Schizosaccharomyces pombe: one gene and its partners. The gene in region 1 interacts genetically with each later gene. Each region holds a gene or a part of one and is shown on either strand. Other genes may lie near its edges.

Evidence for each region.
Region 2: mutations in rhp41 (region 1) and mag2 are lethal when combined (synthetic lethality), as found in Schizosaccharomyces pombe (one study listed by BioGRID).
Region 3: mutations in rhp41 (region 1) and rhp26 are lethal when combined (synthetic lethality), as found in Schizosaccharomyces pombe (2 studies listed by BioGRID, with this or other methods).

Annotation. Positions count from the first base shown.
Region 1 is NC_003424.3:4,591,593-4,600,374, reverse strand, and holds rhp41 (DNA repair protein Rhp41), read left to right. Parts: upstream 1-4,279; 5' UTR 4,280-4,585; coding exon 4,586-6,502; 3' UTR 6,503-6,775; downstream 6,776-8,782. Other genes in the region: rnh203 (ribonuclease H2 complex subunit), read left to right, coding at 1-112; tea5 (serine/threonine protein kinase Ppk2), read left to right, coding at 753-2,695, 2,754-2,808; gid8 (ubiquitin ligase complex subunit protein), read right to left, coding at 3,106-3,531, 3,576-3,771, 3,836-3,936; glucan glucosidase exg2, read right to left, coding at 6,808-8,520. UniProt on the Schizosaccharomyces pombe protein: Has a role in the nucleotide excision repair (NER) pathway. Acts in both transcription-coupled repair (TCR) which removes damage from the transcribed strand of active genes and in global genome repair (GGR) which removes damage in untranscribed DNA.
Region 2 is NC_003423.3:2,118,257-2,121,550, forward strand, and holds mag2 (DNA-3-methyladenine glycosylase Mag2), read left to right. Parts: upstream 1-2,000; 5' UTR 2,001-2,029; coding exon 2,030-2,671; 3' UTR 2,672-2,794; downstream 2,795-3,294. Other genes in the region: SPOM_SPBC23G7.10C (NADH-dependent flavin oxidoreductase), read right to left, coding at 11-1,198; proteasome regulatory subunit Rpt6, read right to left, coding at 3,274-3,294. UniProt on the Schizosaccharomyces pombe protein: Alkylbase DNA glycosidase-like protein that shows no DNA glycosylase activity for alkylated bases.
Region 3 is NC_003421.2:1,177,789-1,186,570, forward strand, and holds rhp26 (SNF2 family helicase Rhp26 ), read right to left. Parts: upstream 4,851-8,782; 5' UTR 4,770-4,850; coding exon 1,848-4,769; 3' UTR 1,144-1,847; downstream 1-1,143. Other genes in the region: thiosulfate sulfurtransferase Tum1, read right to left, coding at 84-701, 759-1,037; THO complex subunit Tho1, read left to right, coding at 5,008-5,202, 5,262-6,152, 6,208-7,380; coa4 (respiratory chain complex assembly protein), read right to left, coding at 8,100-8,183, 8,230-8,379; Prp19 complex subunit, RNA-binding Cwf5, read right to left, coding at 8,605-8,782. UniProt on the Schizosaccharomyces pombe protein: Involved in transcription-coupled repair (TCR).

The DNA of each region.
Region 1 (8,782 bases):
GTGGAATCGTGACAATATGAGGAGCTCAGAAAAAGATCAATGGAAACGAGGAGTCCTTGAGTGGATTCAATTTGCTTCCAAGGTAAAGTTCAACTGTAGTTTGTATAATTAAGGATATATTGTTTACAAATGTTCATACTAACTTCGACCAGGTCGCGGACACCAAATGAACTCTCATCTTACTTTTGCTGTTCATCACTAACAGTTCTCAATATTCCATGTTGGATATTTAATTACTTCAAGGAGATGCTGGCGCAGGCATCCGTTGGGATCATTTAATAAGCGGGAAATTTATCGAATCTTCTGAACTCTTTAACTTTCAAAGATAAGCATCTATGAGCAATACCCGAATACATCAAAAATCCTTTATTTCTAATCAACAATAATATTGATTTACCTTCTTTCTATATCTTCTTAAGAATTTCAGGAATTTTTCGTTACCTACGGACGTTACCTTGAGAGTAACACTACACTTATCAGTTTTGGTACAAACCTAACAGCTATTGTAAAGTATATCCATCTTGATTGTTGAAAAATTGGACTTGCTTTTGTATTTTAATTAACAAAAGGGAAGTAATAGCTTTATTTATCAAACAATTTCCTCGAATTACACTCCAATTATTCGTTCTTTTTGTTTGGGTGTTAGTTCGATTGTCTACTTCTGTTTATCATTCTCGCTTTTCATGTTCGAAAAGTTTGTATTTTATGGTCGCTTTCTCTTTTTTCTTCTTTGTTGATTTACTTTTTTTTGTATGCTTTCCAATTCTACATTCCATGAACATCACGCAAAAAGCCACTTTCACAATAATGCCTGCCAAAGCAATGCGTCTTCGTCTGCCTGTAGAGCTTCTGAGGATCATTTAGTTTCTTCTTTTCCTAATGACTCTATAATTGACTTGCAGCCTTCGCGACCTGCCCCAGAACCACCAAAAAAGAAGTTTGGATACTATGCTCGTCGTCTGAGTGGTCACTTCCTTTCATTAATTCATGGGTCTGGTAATAGTACTCGTAGTCCTCCTTTCCATTTGCAAAACCAAAAATCGAATGGACAATCGGAAGTCTGGCATTCATCTGATGATTCAGGCAGTCCTAAACGACTAAATAGATCACGATCTTCAAAAGAAGACATGTATAGACGCAGGAGTTTACATGGACTACCATCGTTATCTCGTAGAAATTCTAAAAAATCTTCTACTCTTTCTCGATCAATATCTTTACACCTCAGAAGTGAATCAGCTCCTATTTCCCTCCCCATTCATCTATATAAGTCTTACTCCTATAATCATAGTCCGAGCAGTCTTCCAACTGTTCTTAATTCCCAAGCATTAAGTTCTCCCCCAGTCCCCACTACGCCTGATGAAGTTTCAACCAACAGACTTTCATCTTCTACTTCCTCAATGAATTGCCGAAATTTAGTACCCGATAATTTCAACATCTCGATTCGTCCTAATACTACTAACTATCGGTCGTCCATACAGGAAAACTCAAATGGTAACAGAGATAGCATTTCACCTTCCGCTTATGATGCTCCATTACTACACAACGTAGATACACAATCCATAGATGGGTTTGTGTCAGTAGCTTCGCATTTTAGCAGTGCTTCTACTGCTGAAAGTCTGGACGATGGGCATTCCGCAACGACAATACAACAAGGCGATGTTTCTTCGTATCCTTTATCTCGATCTGTCTCTACTCCAGTTCCTATGTCTCCAATTAGTATTAGTCCTGCCAAGCCTAGTCCACAAAGCCCAAAACTTTCACAATCTGCTGTCGGTCATCCAAGTAGTTCAATCCCTGCTGCAGCTATGCATAAAGTTTCATATTCTGATGATCTAATGCGTTTCGTTGCACGAGAAAAGTATTACCTACAGATAGTAGACTGCCTTTGCACACAAAAAGATCCATTGTTCTTCTATACCGACTTTACCAAAATATGCCAACAAGATACAGTTGGAACCTACGTTGCTCGTCAAACTCTGGATAAAGAAGTGGTTGTAATTAAACGGTTTGACATTTCAGCTGTAACTCATAGGAGGCTTTTACTCGAAGAATTGCAGCGATTATCTGGTCTCTCTCACAAAAATTTAATTCGTTATAACGAGAGTTTTTGGTATCTGAACAATATTTGGTCGGTCTTTGAATATAAAGACCCAAGCACCAAGTTGTCAGCTTTAATCCCCAAATATTTTTTTAGTGAGTTAAACATAGCTTCCATATGTTATGAGATAAGTTCTGGTCTTGCATTTCTTCATAATAGTGGGATAGCTCATCATAACCTTACTACCGAATGCATATATCTCACGAAAAGCAGTTGCCTTAAAATTGGCAATTATGCATTTTCTTCGCCATACATTGAAAGACAGACTAACCGTGGAGCAGTATCTCATGTTCCTGACTGGTTAATTGAAAAGAATTATAAAGAAGGATTTATGAAGGATGTTAAAAGCTTGGGCTTAGTTGCTCTTGAAATTTTTCAAGGTCAGCCAAACTTTTTTCGTAAATCTATTCAATCCATCCAACTAACTCCGAATGCAAATGTTTTAGTCAACCGAGTTCGTGGATTAATTAGCCAAGAATTTAAGGAATTCCTTTTACAAACCTTGCAAGCCGAAACATTACAAGGCCCTAATATCAATATGTTGTTGGAAACTTCTAGTTTTTTGGAAAAGCGACAAACGCTCAATTTTGAAATTTGGTAAGTTTTCAGTTTTGGAACACTTTTGTTTATATCCAATTCTAACCTTTTTTTTTAGCCTAAACAATCTTAATTTGCGAGAACGAAAGGCATCTCGCTACAGTTATCTATGATTACCAATGAAGAAAATCAAATTATTCGCCATAGAAAAAATATTGCTAATTTAATAACCCATTAAATTCCCTCCTTACTTTTAAAAGGAAAAGTTGTGTTTGCTTTGCTTGTCAGTAACTTGATACTATACGATGTTGCTTAACAACAAAAATTGGCTTTGTTAATTGAATGTCATATTATCATTTGTGAGTTCAATAATTTAATTATCATTAGTGAGAACAATACGAAAAAAGTTCTTATGTTAAATGGATGTAACAGACATAAATGCATAAACTGAGGAAGGTCGTAAAAAGTAATCATTTTATGGATGCTTTGGGCACAAATTTCTGCACTTCAATCGAATTCCTTTGTGCCTCTTTTTCACACCAGCGCTCAAAATTTACCAAAGACAACAACCTAGACTCATTTGATAATCCTTGAGACTTCAATATACTAACGTTGGCAAGGTTTGCAACACGCTCACGTTGGCTGTAATTCAAAACATTTTTCAAGGCAGGGCTGTAGGAAGAAGGAGGAAAACATAAAAGCGACATTGTCAACTCTAAAGAATTCAAAAACTTTTGATTTGAGGGTGCTAAAGGTGCTAAATTTTCATGTGCAAAGTTTAAACATCTTTCTACCGCTAAATCAGAGGTATCTTTCTCTTCAACAACTTCTCGTATCAATTCAAGCAATCTCAATCGTAATAATTCAAACAGAAGTTCTGAATTTGTGTCCAAAATCTATGTAGCTGTTAACTCGTAATCCTTACTTGCTTTCAGCATACCTCTGGCTCCAATTCATTCAGTTTGCATATTGCAGAGTTAATTGAACCTGATTTAATTAACTCGCAAATCTCTAAACGTTCTTTTACATATGGAGGAATATAATAATCCGTAATTTGAGCTTCTTCAGCAAATGTTTTTGCGGCTTCTTCGTCACCTTGAATCACCAAATAATCTAAAATCAGCGAATTCACGTCTCTGTACAAGCAATGATTAGTAACCATCAGTAACGTTCAGCGAAGCAACTATTTCAGTTACTTACGAATTATCGATATGGACACTTTTTGTCTGTTTCTCCCATTGTTCTGCGTCCGAACTTGAGCTACCGCTCATTGAAATATCTAAAGAAGAAGTGCCTACCATCTTTAAGCTCTCGTGAGAGAACGGTAGCAAATTCTATTCTATCCTAAACAAAGAGACCTTTTAAAGCTACCAAAAGTTATGACCGGATAAACGAGCCTCAATTCTTGATAAAAAGAAATTTAACGAAATTTATATAGGATAGAGATAGTAAACCCTTGAAAAAGGCAATTTGAAATTCGAATAGCCTGTGCAATGCTAAAGATTGAAGTTGCAAAGTAGCCATATCGCTACCTCAAAGATATGCCGTTTACCAAAATGCAACGCAAACTTCTAACTTAAAATATAATGTACTCTAACGGCGATTTTTGGTTTCACTACAACGCTGTATATAAACAAATTCAACGTTAGCTATGATTTTAATAGAAAAGGAATTTGTTTTTCTTAACGTTATGAACTACTTTTCGTATCAATAAATACAAATCTTTTTCTCATGTGTTACGTGCATTATTAATGGTCAAAACATTTTCTTATATTCTACTTAATTGAAGTATCTTTATAAACTCGTGCTCCCTAGTGTTTTTAAAGAGTTACGCATCTCAAAAACGTTTCATTGGTTTTTTATGTTTCATTTTTTAAAATAATATAATAGAATAAGGGCGCAACGAGTCTTAATACTGAAAAAAGTTGGCTTCTATCAAATATAAATGCTATGATGAGTGACGAAGATAATACCTATAGTGATGATGAAGAATGGTTAGATTTAGATCTTGGTCTCCCTAATAATGATATTAAAACTGCACCTATTTTAAATTCTTCGCTCCTTTCATCCGCCGTACATGGTGAAAGGTTGATTCAAGAACGACCAACTCATGATTTTGGAGACGTTGAGGCCACCGTTGATCGAACGGTTGAAAAACGTAGCCGCTTAAAGATCACTTCCGTTGATAGAAAGATTCGTCTTCAAATTCATCAGTTACACTTACTCTGTTTGACTTATCATCTTTGCACACGAAACACTTGGTGCGATGACAATAGACTAAATTATCTTGTGAAATATATTCCTCCTGGTATACGTGTCTCGCTTCATCCCTCTTCTCAAAAGTCACAAATGATTCGGAACAAAACTTTCCTACACGGGTTGGCTGGACTCGTCGAAGTTTGGAAACGGAAATATAAAATCACTACCAATGGATTAAGAAAACCGAATTATGGTTTACTACAAAACAATAGCCTCATCTCTGAATCTTTATCCCTTGAGGAGTTTTGTAAAAACTCAAAATTGCTTTCCGGTAGTAGAGATTATGGAACCCAGTTATTTGCATCTATTCTTCGTAATTTAAACGTTCCAACTAGACTAGTTTTTTCACTACAAGTTTTATCTTTTCGATTTAAAGGTGCCATAAATGAAGCAAGTAGTCATGAAATTGTTCCGGCATGGTCTCAGCAAATGGAAAATGATTCATCTAGCGATATCTCTGAAAGTGCACACATTACTTCTAGATTTCGCAAACGTAGGAAAATCATACAGCCTTCTTTTTCAAATCTTTCACATCTTGATGCCTCAGATATTGTTACAGAAGATACAAAACTAAAGGTAATTGATTCTCCCAAACCGGTTTTTTGGGTAGAGGCTTTTAATAAAGCTATGCAAAAATGGGTTTGTGTTGATCCATTTGGTGATGCTAGTGTCATTGGCAAGTACAGAAGGTTTGAACCGGCTTCCAGTGACCATCTAAATCAAATGACTTATGTATTTGCTATTGAGGCTAATGGGTATGTAAAAGATGTTACCCGAAAATATTGTTTACATTATTATAAAATATTAAAGAATAGAGTCGAGATTTTTCCCTTTGGAAAGGCTTGGATGAATAGAATATTTTCTAAAATTGGAAAACCAAGGGATTTTTATAATGACATGGATGCTATAGAGGATGCGGAATTACTAAGGCTTGAACAATCAGAAGGAATTCCGAGGAATATTCAAGATTTGAAAGATCACCCGCTTTTTGTTTTGGAGAGGCATTTAAAAAAGAACCAGGCTATTAAAACTGGTAAATCCTGTGGAAGAATCAACACAAAAAATGGGGTCGAATTAGTGTATCCACGCAAATATGTTAGCAACGGCTTCTCTGCTGAACATTGGTATCGTAAGGGTCGTATCATAAAGCCAGGAGCTCAGCCTTTAAAACATGTTAAGAATGGAGATAAAGTATTACCCTTGTATGATGAAGAAGCTACGCAGTTGTACACTCCGAAACCGGTTGTTGCGAACATTGTTCCTAAAAATGCATACGGAAACATCGATTTATATGTCCCTTCAATGTTGCCATATGGAGCATATCATTGTAGAAAACGTTGTGCTTTGGCAGCAGCTAAATTTTTAGAGATTGACTATGCAAAAGCAGTTGTTGGATTTGATTTTCAACGGAAGTACTCAAAGCCTAAATTAGAGGGAGTTGTTGTTTCTAAGCGTTATGAAGAGGCTATCGATCTCATTGCAGAGGAGATAGACCAGGAAGAAAAAGAAGCAGAGGCAAGGAATGTAAGAAAGACTTGTCTTTTATTATGGAAGCGACTGATTACAGGCCTTCGGATTCGTCAGCGTGTATTCGAAGAATACGGTTAATTGATAAATTCGATTTTCCTAATCTACGAGCTCAATGATGGAATCATTTTACAAAGTACCTGGCTACACATTCTTAGTGTTATCTACATCAAGGTTGTTATTTATTTTTTATTGTAATACGAAGTTTGAATTGTTATCATATATTTCTTTGTATATATATATTAGTACACAAATAAAGATGAGCGATCATGACTTTAAAATTCTATAGAATTCAGGGGTCTTTAATAAGTACCTTTATATTGACATAAATTAAAATAAAAGATTGATATTATCCAAAGAACAATGCTTGCATTTTCTAATTACCATCAAAATTCAGATTGCTCGTCAAACTCCATGAAAGATTTAGAATCAAGCATGCTGCAATTGAAATCCTTCGTTGTAGAGTAAGCCAAGCGAGGCAACAAACCTGCCAGCCATGATTTTTTGTAACTCCATTGAGTGGCATTTTCGGTGTCCCAGTTCCAATAAAACCAGCCCCATGTTTTGTCAAATGTTTCAATTTGTGAAGTAGCTAAAGCATATAGAAACTTTCGATAAGAATCCTCGTAATTTTCGGGGTCCTGATTTGCGAAGTCGCAACGACAACCAACTTTTTCAGAACAACTGGCAACACCTCCATTAGGAGTAAAAGTGCCGTCCCATCGAGCACCCTCTCCAACATTATTTAAAAACTTAGCACAATCTGTATCCGCAAGGCTCCACTCTCCTATAATCGTCGGTAATTTGGCCTTTAACTTCATTTCTTCGTTCCATGACTTACATATCACATTAAGTTTATCTTTTGGCCTCAAACCAATTAAGAAATCATTAAAAATGATATACCTATGTACATCGATAAGTATGTTTGGGAAGTGAAATGGATCAAAATGATCTTCCCAATTACCTGGACCACGAAATCCATCACTAAGTGATATTAGACCTGTAAAATTAGATTGGCGAATTACCGCATAGGCTTGCTTATGCCAATCAGTAATTTTGTGCTCATCAAGAACGAAGAAATTTGGTTCGTTAAGTGCACCGTATATTGTAACGACATTTCTATACCGTTTCTGAGAGAAAAAAGAAGCAAGTCTTTCATGAATTTTTAGTGTGAATTGAGAATTTTCCTCGCCTTTCACTGTGCCATCCAACCACTCCATTTGATTCAAATATCCACCGTGATTCCAAGAGTTTTGGTTACCAGGTGCGGCGTGTAAATCAAGATTAACTCTTAATCCTTGCTCACGAGCCCATTCGATAGATCTAAGTAGATATCTCCACCCAATACCCGAGACATTAGTTATTTCATTACTGTAAAGAATCCAATATGGAAAGGTAATCCGAACATGATCCAAACCTGCTTCCCTAATTTCGTAAAATGTTTGTTTCGTGACAAATGTATTGTAATGGTTCTCAATAACGCTGGTGGCATTTTCCCCCAAATATGCGTGTAGACTCAATTCATCTTTTACTAAGTATGCAGTTTCATTTTTCACTTGGAAAAAAGATGGAGTAATAAATGGTTCCATTGAAAGCCATCCACCTAGATTTACACCTCTAATGGGAAGTCGACCGTACGGAAAAGGCTCGTTCAAAGGAGGGACATTAGGATTTGCCTGAACGGAATCATCATATTTATCAAATATTCCCATTGTATATAATCCAGCGAACGTTTCGTTCGTAAAACTTGTATTGAAATCAGATGTATCAAGCCAAGTATTGGTGTCCAAAAGCGAGTTTTTAGCCCATTCAGGTACTTGAGTGGAATTAAATATCTCATCAATTATATTTACGCCTAAATTAGTGGTTTCCATATTTGTGTCTTTAATTTTTCGATCTGACTGAGCGTGAGGAATAATAACTAAAAATATAAGAGGAAGAATAATTGACAGGAAAACACATAGGGAAACAAAAAATGTAAGGAGGATAGTAATAAGAAGAGCCTTCTTGTCAATTTCTCTACACCTTTTAGATGTAAAGTCATCAACACCGAGTGATTTAGAGTCACAAGATGACTCAGCTTCTAAAAGATTGCTCATATTTTATCAATAAAAAGAAAGAAAGATATTTTGATCCAATTATTAAAAGAAGGAACTACCGGGCCCTTGACAAGAAAAGAAACAAAGATAATGATACAACTCTTCAAAGGGAGGAAAGAAAGGAAGAACGTGCTTCAAACAAAAAATATGAACATGTAGTCATCAAACAGTATTTAAATTGCAAAACTATTACAATAATACCGATCCATCATTGTGACGTTAGCGGTGGAACATGCATATAAGTTAGCAGTTAACAAGTCAT
Region 2 (3,294 bases), on another chromosome or scaffold:
AATTTGACATTCAACGTAACTTTCTGTGTCCCTTAACTGCATAGTCATACTGAACTGGCCATGCAACATTTTCACCCAACTGGTTCGCGCTGTCTAGCACCAACGACGGGTTCCTTAAGAACTCCCTTGCGACAAAAGTAACATCAGCTTTTCCACTTTCTAGGATTTCATTCGCCGTAAGACCATCCCTGATCATTCCGACAGCGCCAAGTAGTATTCCATTCACTTGATCCTTAATCTTTTCCGCAAAAGGAACTTGATAGCAATCCTTCACCTCAATTCTTTGATCCTTGTGATTACCACCAGAGCTAACATCTATCAAGTCAACACCACCATCGCGAAGCCTCGCTGCTAATGCAACTGTATCTTCTATCTCCCATCCTTGTCCTTTGGGCAACCAATCTGTAGCCGTTACTCTATAAAACAAGGGCATACTATCTGGAATTGCTTTACGAACAGAATGGACAACTTCCATAGGAAACAAAATACGTTTCTCAAATGTCCCACCATACTTGTCATTGCGGTCATTAGTGGCAGGACTAACTGTTGACGATATAAGATAACCATGAGCGCCATGAATTTCAATTACATCAAAACCTATTTCAACTGCACGCTTCGCAGCAACAACAAACTTATCCACTAATTCATCATATTGCTTTTCAGTTAACTTATGAGGTTGAGCGTGGTTTTCGTCCCACCTGTCTTCATTTGGTCCATAAACATCATTCTCCCACCCACCTTGAGCTTCAGTCGCAACTGTGTATCCTCGATAAGGAGCAGTGGTGCTAGCCTTTCTACCAGCATGCGCCAATTGAATCCCAATTTTTTGATTTTGCGAATGAGCAAATTCAACAATTCTTCGTAACGGCTTCATTTGCGACTCCATCCATAATCCTGAATCATTAGGTGAAATTCGTCCCTCTGGGGAAACCGCTGTCGCTTCTACCATTACAAGGCCAGGCCCACGCATTCCCATCGCTCCAAGATGTACTAGGTGAAAATCTGTCAAATGCCCTTCTTGGTCAGCGGAATAAGTGCACATCGGCGAAACAAACATTCTGTTATGGAACTCCACTCCTCTAATTTTAAGAGGAGTAAATAATTTTGTTTGCGGTACACCTATCGCCGCTCCAGCTGGTATTTTTTGCGCAGGTGTAAAATAACCAACATTTTCGGCTCCTTCATTAACAATAGTCATTTTTAAAATTTTTCAATTCAAATTAATATATTGGCCAGTCGTTGGGACATATTTATACACAAAGCATAATGTTATTCCTTACTAAGCTAACCGCAATATTTCCGTGCAACAAACCATGATCATATTACATAATATCTTTTCATCATTCTATTCGATAGCACGGCAACATTGCAAATTACAGAAAATTTAACAATGAGGTTTCAAATAGAAAGCTGTCGAAGTAAAAGTATCATTTGTTTCTTTAATCTACCTCAACAAAGAAAAGAACTATAATAGGAAACCTGTTAAAGATTACGAATGCTTCAATATAGCGCTTTTTGAATTCCAACTAAAAAATATTACAAAAATCAAATGATTAACAAGCTGTCATAATCAAAATACTAATAATGTTGAAATATCCATTGCTAAGTTAAATTGCTCAAACATTACGAGAATCGATTTATTGCATACATTAGTAAATAGTCATTCTAAAAAGCAGCAGCAATTCTTCATACTGTATATGTGTATTATTGCAATTTTTTTTTGAAATATATACAAACTTACCAATTGCCAAAATACTTAACCCTTATTTCTAAAATTAAACTATAATAATATTCATAACAAGCATATTAAACACCATCGACTCACAATATTGCTAGTTAAATAAGATTAACTATTCTTTTTTTAATCAACAAAAATATACCAAGACCTATTTAAAATCTAAAACTGGCTTAAGCATATCAAAGATGCAAAGCAATCTATAAGTTACGTAATAAGTATAAAGGCAAAAAACTTCAGAAGCGTGAAAAACACATCCCATTCCAAGCGCATACACTCAAAAGTAATACAAAAATGTCAAAAGATTCGGACTACAAAAGGGCTGAAAAGCATTTATCTTCAATTGATAACAAATGGTCGTCTCTTGTCAAAAAAGTTGGACCTTGTACACTTACTCCACATCCAGAGCACGCACCCTACGAAGGAATTATTCGAGCTATAACATCACAGAAGCTTTCAGACGCTGCCACAAATTCAATTATCAATAAATTTTGTACACAGTGCTCAGACAATGACGAGTTTCCTACTCCTAAGCAAATTATGGAAACAGACGTTGAAACTTTGCATGAATGTGGCTTTTCAAAATTAAAGTCTCAAGAGATACACATTGTTGCAGAGGCTGCATTAAACAAGCAAATACCTTCTAAATCGGAAATTGAGAAGATGTCGGAAGAAGAACTCATGGAGTCACTAAGTAAGATAAAAGGAGTAAAACGATGGACCATAGAAATGTACTCTATCTTTACACTCGGACGACTGGACATAATGCCTGCGGATGACTCTACTCTGAAGAATGAAGCAAAAGAATTCTTTGGATTATCTAGCAAACCGCAAACTGAAGAAGTTGAAAAACTAACTAAACCTTGTAAACCATACAGAACAATAGCTGCTTGGTATTTATGGCAAATTCCGAAACTCCATCGTAAAGGCCAGTAAAAGTCGTTCAAATATCTAATGGTTCCCGCTTTTGTTTATGAACATATAATAAGCCATACTTTATCTAGTACACATGCCAAACATAAAGTTACTGATTAATTTTTCTAATCTTTCTTAATATTTATCACTAACTAATACAAATCAATTAGTAGATGTGTATACGTACGATCGAAAACCCGCAATTTCATTGTAAACATAGCACCGGTCTAGTTACCGCGAACAACAAGAGCTGCGTTGACTGCTTTTTTTTTGCTATATAATCCAGATGCAGATTATTTTAAAATACTAATCCAAATATTTTGCCTGCCAGCACTCCATAATTTAGTTTACGAGTGGTGGTATACTGTAATACTTGGTATACAAAGAGTCGACTCCACCCTGGATTAACTTTTCCTTATGTATATTCAGGACTAAATCAACGACTGACAAACAACCCATTAATCGATATAGAATTTTTAACGAATAGTAAAGGATAGAATTAATTTTGAAAAGAACGTTTATCTACAATCTAAATATGTAATATATAATAACCAACAATCAATTAAGTACAAACAATTTGACTAAACTTATAATCATATTCATTAATACATATGTAAAATCATCTACTTGAAAAGCTTTTGTAA
Region 3 (8,782 bases), on another chromosome or scaffold:
AAAATCCTAATCAATACTCATAAGGTAAATCATTCACACCTTTACTTTATCTTCGTAATACATCGTTGATAACCATAGTATGCTTAAGGGCCAGTTGCTAGTAAAGAAGAATCTTCATTGGCACGTTTTCCATATCCAGACCAAGACTCATCATAAACGCGTACATCCTTAAAACCGCACTCCTTAAGAGCAGCAAACAATACAGAAGCAGTTACACCAGAGCCACATGAAGTGATTATGGGAACAGACTTGTCTGTTAAACCATGGCTAGAAAACACCTTTTCCAAATCTTCCTCAGGCTTCGGAGCTGTAATACCAGCAGCAGTGGTTTCGGTAAATGGAATGTTGATGGACGTAGGAATATGCCCACTAGCTAAACCAGGACGAGATTCGGGAACGTTGCCAAGAAACCTTTCATGAGCGCGAGCATCAACGATGTGAACGCCTGCGGCATCTGGACTTTCAATCACCTTTACAATGTCATCAAAGGAAGCAACCAGATCTTTGTTCAACTTAGCACCTTCGTAAACAACGGGCTTTGGAGTTCTAGGTTCTCCAGTTTCCAATTCAAGACCCTCAGTTTTCCATGCGTTAAACGCATTAGGAAATAAGAAAACATGCTCATGACCAAAGACTTTAAAGGTCCAGAAAACCCTAGGAGACGAAAAAAACCCTTTTCGGTCATAAATGATAACATTGGTCTAAAATATTAGTAAAATTGAAGACTAAGTAATTGGAATTTCTAAACTACTACTTACGTTTCTGTCAATTCCTAATTTTCCAACGTAAGAGGCGAATTCGTCAGCTGGAGGAAGCATATGAGGAAGGGGATTTTTGTGATCTTTAGCCTCATCTATATCAAAGTATTGAGCACCTGGAAGACGACTTTCTAAATACTCCTTCTTTCCGTTTTTAGTGTCTGTTGGCAAGTACCAAGTAGCATCCAAGAGAACGGTTTTTTGAGCATTATCCTTTAATTTTTGCAATACGCCCTTAATAGGCAAAATAAAAGAGATTTTTTTACCAACAGAGAACATTGTTTGAAGCAGAGTCTTATTTTGTTTCAGCGAACTACATAGACTTCGAATTTCAAGTAATCTTACGAAAGTACAGCGTTGGTTGCAGCTCCCAAAATTAATTAACGAGTCAAGTTTTTGGTAAAACCAAATATGTGTGTAAAAATGGTTAGATGCGGTTGCATTGCTTATATACAAATATTAATTTATATAAAATGAAAAAGTACTAGTAATAAGTTCGCCAATAAGCACCAAGACATCAAAATTTTTGAACCACTAGTTTTCTAATTAAAAGGTCTTTTCTGACACTGTCAACAAACATGACTCTAGCATTCTAATAACGTTGACAAAAGAACGTAGTAATTTATAGCTACAAAAAGGGTTGCACGGGTTGCACATACCACTAACTAAGCCGCTTTGAGTGTTCATACTTTTCTCAGCCAACTAGAAAGTTATTAACGCTAATTTTAGGTCTCAGGTAAAGCGAATTTGTCAAGTGCTTGCTTACAATAACATTAACACACTTTAACCAAGTACTTTAACAAAAGGGAAAAATGATCAAAGTAATTCCGACAGCCCTATCCTCAACATGGAATTGACATTTCCAATACTTTTCAAGCAAAGTAAACCCACCTAGTAATAAGGATAATTCCCATTCAAAAAATGAAATGATCGCGTGTCTATCAATAAATCCATAAATAAAGCTTAAATCATGAAAAACTTAATGTACAAAATAAAGGGAAATAATAATAAATAAATAAATGGGTACAAGATTGGGTCCGAAATTTTAATGGATACAGCTTACTCTAAGGCGAACTTCTTCTAATTAATTCATCGTCTCTGTTTTAGTCGGGCAAGAAGAGTGCTTGAAGTAATCGGACCTGATGGTTTAGAAGTACCAGGAACATTAGTAGATTGCTGCGGAGGTATAAGTTGACGAGGAGGTCGCCGAAAAGATGAAACTGCACGCAGAGCTTCATTAGCAACACGCGTCGCTTCTTTTTCAACCAATATGCTTTCAGTCTGGGAGGCTTCCATGATATCGTCGTGCTTTAAAGTACTCTGAATACCAGCACTAGCAAAAATATCATCAAGGACGGAATCATCCCCTAAAGTCGAATCAGAGTTTGTCTTAGTAACATTTGACTCTTGCGGTGGTTTATACTTTTCCATCGATGCAATCCCCATTTTTTCAAACACTTTGGAGCTGTTAACTTTTTTACCTTTGTCGTGAATTTTGTGCTTTTTTCGGTCACGAGCTGGAATATCTTCAGCTTCATTGCCATTTCTTGAGGAATTATCCTTTCGAAGTACTCGTTCAGATCCCAAAAACATGCTGCCTGTCTCAGTGCCCTCAGTCTTGTTATCGCCTAACGTAAACAAATCGTGCAAGTCCGTCATTTTAAAAAACCTTCTTTGTTTTGGATCTTTCAAAATTTTGTTAGTCAGAAACTGCTTAAAGATTTGACGATGATAAATTTTTTCTTCAATAGTTCCAGCAGTCATCAACCGATAAACTACTACATCTTTCTTTTGGCCCAGTCTCCAAGCACGTTCACGTGCTTGAGCATCCGTTGAGGGATTCCAATCAGGATCAAAAAGAATTACCCTGTCAGCACCAGTCAAATTGACTCCTAATCCACCAACACGAGTAGTTAGAAGAAACACATCAAAATACTCATTTTTATTAAAGTTGTCCACCAAATCTTGTCTTAAAGCAATAGATGTGCTACCATCCATGCGACAGTAATGAACATCCGGCAAATCCTTTAATCCTATTTCCAGTATGTCGAGCATTTGGCGAGTCTGAGAAAATAGAAGAGTTCTATGTCCTTGTTTTTTCCACAAAGTTAGTAATGCTCTAATAACCTTCAGTTTGCCAGACTTTTCAGGATCACCATAGTTGTAATCTTCTTTATGTAACAAGTACTCTCGAGTTACAAGATCTGGATGATTACAAATTTTTCGTAGTATATCAATTCCATAAAGCATTTGACGCTTTCCGTTCAAGATCTTTTGCATATCAGAGCCTTGCAAAAAATCTTGGTAAGCTTTCCTTTGTAAAGGAGTCAGCTTACAGAACAATACTTGTTCGGACTTCTTAGGTAAATCTGCAGCAACGTCAAGCTTCATTCTTCTAAGTAAATAAGGAGAAATTAAATCTCGAAGCATGCAGGCGCATTTATAAGCGGTTTGCACTTGAACATTTGAAGCATTGGCATAACCACCAATATTAATAGGTAAGGCAAATTGATTTTGAAATACCGGTAATGTACCCAATCTTCCAGGAAATACAAAATCAAATAAATTCCAAAGCTCGGTAAGGTTGTTCTGGATCGGAGTCCCTGAGAGGATAATCCTATTCACAGTACGGATTTGCTTACACGAAATAGATATTTCAGAATCTGGGTTTCGTATTTTGTGCCCTTCATCCAAAACACAATAACCCCATTCCCGTGGTAAAATCAAATCACCATATATCCTTAAACCAGCATATGTTGTAATTAAAATGTGGCCTCTAGTGAAGACACTTTCAACTAAGTTCTTAGCGTATCTGTGGAATGAACTTGAAGCACCTCTTAATTTTATGGAGGTTTTGCTTTCTTCCGCTTCACTTTCAGAAGCGTCAGATTCATACTGTCTCTTTTCGCGTGAAGCACGCTGTCCGCTGCCAGTAGCATGAAGAACAACAACACGTAATGGAGCCCACCATGTATGAAACTCATTAACCCACTGCTTCATTAAAGTCGCTGGACAAACGATAAGTGCAGGCTTTTGAAATTTGCCAGAGTGATGCAAAGACGAAAGGAAAGATACTATTTGAATAGTTTTTCCTAGTCCCATTTCATCACCAATGATTCCTCCGGCCTCTTGACAATAGAGTTCCCATAACCATTGTACGCAAGTGACTTGATAACGGAAAAGATGTGGGCGAATATCACCTGGGATGGTAAATCCACCCTCAAAAGTCTGTCCTTTTTTGGAAGGATGAGGTAGTAACCACTCATCTTTACCTTCAAACTCTCCTCTATCTTTATTGTTTTCAGATGCTGAGGCCTGATCTCGTAATTCCTTACGATTCGCACACCAAGCATTAAGCCTTTGTCGATATACCAAATCATCTCCATCATCTATAGCGGCAGTTACTACTTTCTCCGTAACAGCATCCACAGTTACGTACTCATCTTTTTCGTCTCTTGGAATAATCCCATGATCAATATTTGACGGCTCCGAACTCAAATGAGGTGCCGTTTCATAGTATGTTCCTTCAGACTTTATAACAGCCTCACGAATGCTAGATTCATCATCAAAATCAACTTCTTTTTGTAGTCCAGAGAGATTTCGAAACGGTGTAACCTTACCAGTACGGATGAGCTCTTGTCTTTCCAATTCTTCAGTCGAAAATGCACCTATACCAGGGGCATTTGCCGAATCTTCGTTATTAAGTCTTCTCTTAATATCATTTTCGTCTGATTGTAAACTTTGAAGAGTGTCTCGGAATTTAGATAATTGTTTGCGGAAGTTCTCCTTGACACTTATTTTTGTAAGTCGACTGTCTATACGCTCATCAAGGCGACGTATTTTTTCTTTTACAGAAGATATTTCTTTCCTGACTTTTTGAAGTCTCTTCTTTTCGATCTCTCGACTTTCATGTGCAATGTACTCACTAGCAGTATTCGTAACATCGCGTTCCAAATTCTCTTGGTCAACCGAAAAAACCCCTAAATGGGATAGATCTTCATTGACACTCATATCCTATCAATTTCTTAAATAAAGTCTCATTTTCAGACTCACTGCAAATTTAAGAAAATACTTTGTTGTTTGGTTAAGGGCAAAATTACATATTCCTTCATGCTGCTCCTGTTATAGCGAGAAGCAATGAACCACACAAAGCAATAACGAATAAATCCTTATTTCTAAATGACATTGTCAATGCTAGATAAACTCACGTTTCTGCGCGCGGATTGTATATTCGCAGACTTTTAAAGTAATGGAGGTGCAAAAGGGTTTAATTGAAGCTTTTTATAATACATATCCATTAGAAAAGGCAAAAGAACTGGATAAGAGTCCACTTTGTTCTGAATATGAATTATTCATCAAAGAATTATGGCCTTCGATTGTTGAGAGTTTTCATAACTCAACTGAGTTTGAAACGGCAATAAGATTTTGCTGTTATGAAACAGCAGTATGTGCTTTTTCCATAATGAAGTTTTCCTTAAGTTACTAATTGTTATTTTCGTGTAGCGCAAAAGTGAGATTGGATTGGAGGAGCGATTAAAATGTTTATTTGCGATTTTGGATCTCTTAGTAATAGGGAACGAAATTAACGAAAGCTTCTGTGATCACCTGTTGCCTTTTCTAATCTTGGAAGAGCTGATGGACATTCACACCGTCAACGAATGCGCCAAATTATATGAATATTTTGAAACCAGACCTAGCTTGATGAAAGGTATTGTCAGCAATCGTGGAAGAGGACCCGTTTTGCTTCGGATATCAAATGAATTACTCCGGCGTCTTTCTCGGCAAGAAAATTCATCTTTTTGTGGGCGGATCGATATTCTGCTAAGTAAGGCTTTCCCCCCTGAAGAACGGAGTGGAGCCAATTTACGTGGAGATTATAATACTGTTCATTCTTTTGGGAAGGTAGAACTGTCACCACCATCCACACCCATTTCGGACCGAACAGACCTCTCATATCACAAAAAACTTAATACCTTATTTACTGCTTATTGGGATTTGCAGTGTATGTGCTCCAACCCTCCTAAATTACTAGCAAGTGATACCTTACCTAAGTTTATAGATGCAGCTGGTTCTGCAATACAGGCATTCGAATCTATATTACAAAATACGTTCTTCAATGGGAAGTCAAACCCTACAATTGATCCAAACTCTAGCTCATTACTTTCTGAAAAATATATAACTTTGGATAAAGGATTTCCTTCTAAATATATATATTCTCGGTCGCTTTTTGAATACCAACTTTCAGATGAAGATTTCCGGTTACAGGCTATTTTACAATTAATTATTATTTTCGACTTTTTGCTTGACCATTCTAAAGAACGAATTGAAAGGAGAACTCTTGAAAAATGGACAAATAAGGCGGTAATTCCCATTGTTATTTTGTCTGACGAAGATGTATGTTCTTTTTTAGACTCGAAAAAAACTGATTTTATTGATTGCTAATATGTAGACCTCAAAGTTAAATGAATTATCCAAAGAAGCATATAGTTTCTTACATACTGCCCGGTGTGGTTCTGTGCAAAGAACCATTAAAGAAATTATACATATTGAGGGTAATTGGAAATTATGGAAAGGGCTTGGCTGCCCTTCCCTTGAAAAACCCCTAGTAGATAAAGCGGCTATTGATGAAGCTGTCGAAGGCTTAAAAAAGCTTACAAACACCCCAGTGAAATTAAGATTTGCTATGGGAAATGCTGCTTTGTCGAGGCTCTGGGAGCAGGCTGGAGAAAATACCCTTGATGATCTCAAAAAGGAGGAAAGGTACCGGATTCCATCACCTGAGAGCTTTTTATCTGGCGTTAAAGCAGACAAGTTTGAAATAGAAGAGGCAGTTAGAGATGATGACAAGCATTTCCATGAACAGTCCTTGGCAACGAAGACATGGCGTGCCTTTCGTTCAGCAATTAATAGCCATCTTCAAAACTTTTCGGATACCGGACTAGGTGATGTTGAATTGCTTTGTAATTCCATTGAGGGCAAACCGACTACATCGAAAATTACACCCTCTATTCCTCCAGCTTTTGATATTCATATTATAGAAGGAGAAGAGTTATTAGAGGAAATGAAAAAGAGGGAGAATGTCAAGCACAATTCTCAAAACTTTGCAAGTCCTATGCAAACAGATGCTGAAGGTGATATTGTCCAAAATGAAGAGGAAAAAGAAAGCGTTGAGGTTGAAGAAGGAAAACATAAAAATGACTTGCCAAAGGTATCACCTAAACCCCCAACTGAGGGTGTGGACAGTGAAGTAAACGGTGAATCTTTGGTTCAGGTTAATAAGGTTCTCAAATCAGAAGATGATAATACATCTGAAGCTTCAAAGGACCCATCTTCACATGTGAAATCTCCCGAAAATATTGAAAAACTAAAACAAAATGATGATCACTTTGAGGTCACAGAAGAAATTACTTCCACCATAAATTCTAAAATATCTGAAAAGCAAGAGAATAATGTTGCTGAAACTATATTGGAAGTAACATCTAGTCCAAAATCTTCTGAAAATAGTCAAAAGCAGTCAGAGATTACTAAAAAGCGAGGACGGGATGAGGAAGATGAACCTTCTGACCTTCATTCAAGCCCTAAAAGGCCAAAAACTGGAGAGGATGGAGAAATTGTATTATAATCATTAAATCAATTACACATATGTGATAAGTGCTTAGTTATGATTGAGTCAGAAAATGTATATATAGTTAATGTTTTGATCTAGCGTGTTTTTGTATGCGCTTATATAAAATAAAATTACATCCTTTTAGTAGAGCTACTGTAAAGATGAATTTCATTGTTTATTGATGGGTAAATTACGCTTATTTACTAAACTGCACACATTTTTTGACAGTTGAATACGTTCACATGTTCAATATGAAAACATTCTAAAGTCAAATTTTTTATTTTTCAACAAATGCAACAATAAAAGCGGGTTATAAGTACAGAACTTTTCCAATATCGATGGATCAGATTTGAAACAGACTTATACAATTTGACAACAACGTTGAATTGTAAAATATGTTTTTGCGTATTTAAACTCCATCCTATCAATTCAATACTAAGTCATAACTTGCTTTACCATACCACATAACACAGAAAAATTGATGCACTATGACAACTGAGACTTCGTAAAATAAATAGCTGAAAACTCTGCAATTGCAGAAAATATTCAAAAAAATTATATCAAATGAGTTAATGATTTGAAACACTGTCTTCGTATTTGAAGAATCCAATTAATTAGTTCCGCATGCATTATATCTTTTTCAATAAAAAGAATTCATCCTAATAACAGCGTACTAAAACTGCCGTAAACAGAATAATTATTTTTTTCACAAAATCACATGATATAGAAACTCATTAAGATAAATTTTTATTTTTTTTGTCTGAGATACTTGGCAAAGGACCATGTCTCTTTTCCCAACATTTCCTGAATTCTTCCATCTAAAAATATCAGAATTAGCTAAATTTTTTAAAGACATATAATTACCTGTTCTGTACATTTCCTCCAATCATGAGTATCCCAATAGCAATCATTCAGTCGAAGGTGCTCTTCTACACATCCACCTTTTTCAAGAGCAGTGTCCCATACATCTTTTTCCTCTTCTTCTCCGTCAGGAGTTTTTTCAATACTATCCATTCAGAAAAAATAAATTGATGCTTTATAATGTAAAAAATATGCAAAACCCAAAGTGTTTTGCTGAGTAAGGTAAAGCAGCAGATATTTGATTATTTAAGGAGAATGACCGAGAGACGACAGAAAAGGTGCAAAGACAAATAAACAAGAAAATACAGAATAAAGCTTGTCAGTATTAGAGAAAATAAGTTAATAGCTACTACAAAGGTTTTAAATGACCAACTGACTTCACCGCGGAATTTGAGATCGGTAACGGGGTTGATTGGGGTCAATGGGTATAGCAACTGCAGGGCTTTTAGTATTTTCATGATCTTCATTTTCAATGTTTTTAATCGTAGATTTTTGGGAGGTTTTATTTCCATGGGATGAACCTCGCATCACAAGGTCTGCCAACTTTGCGTTTCGT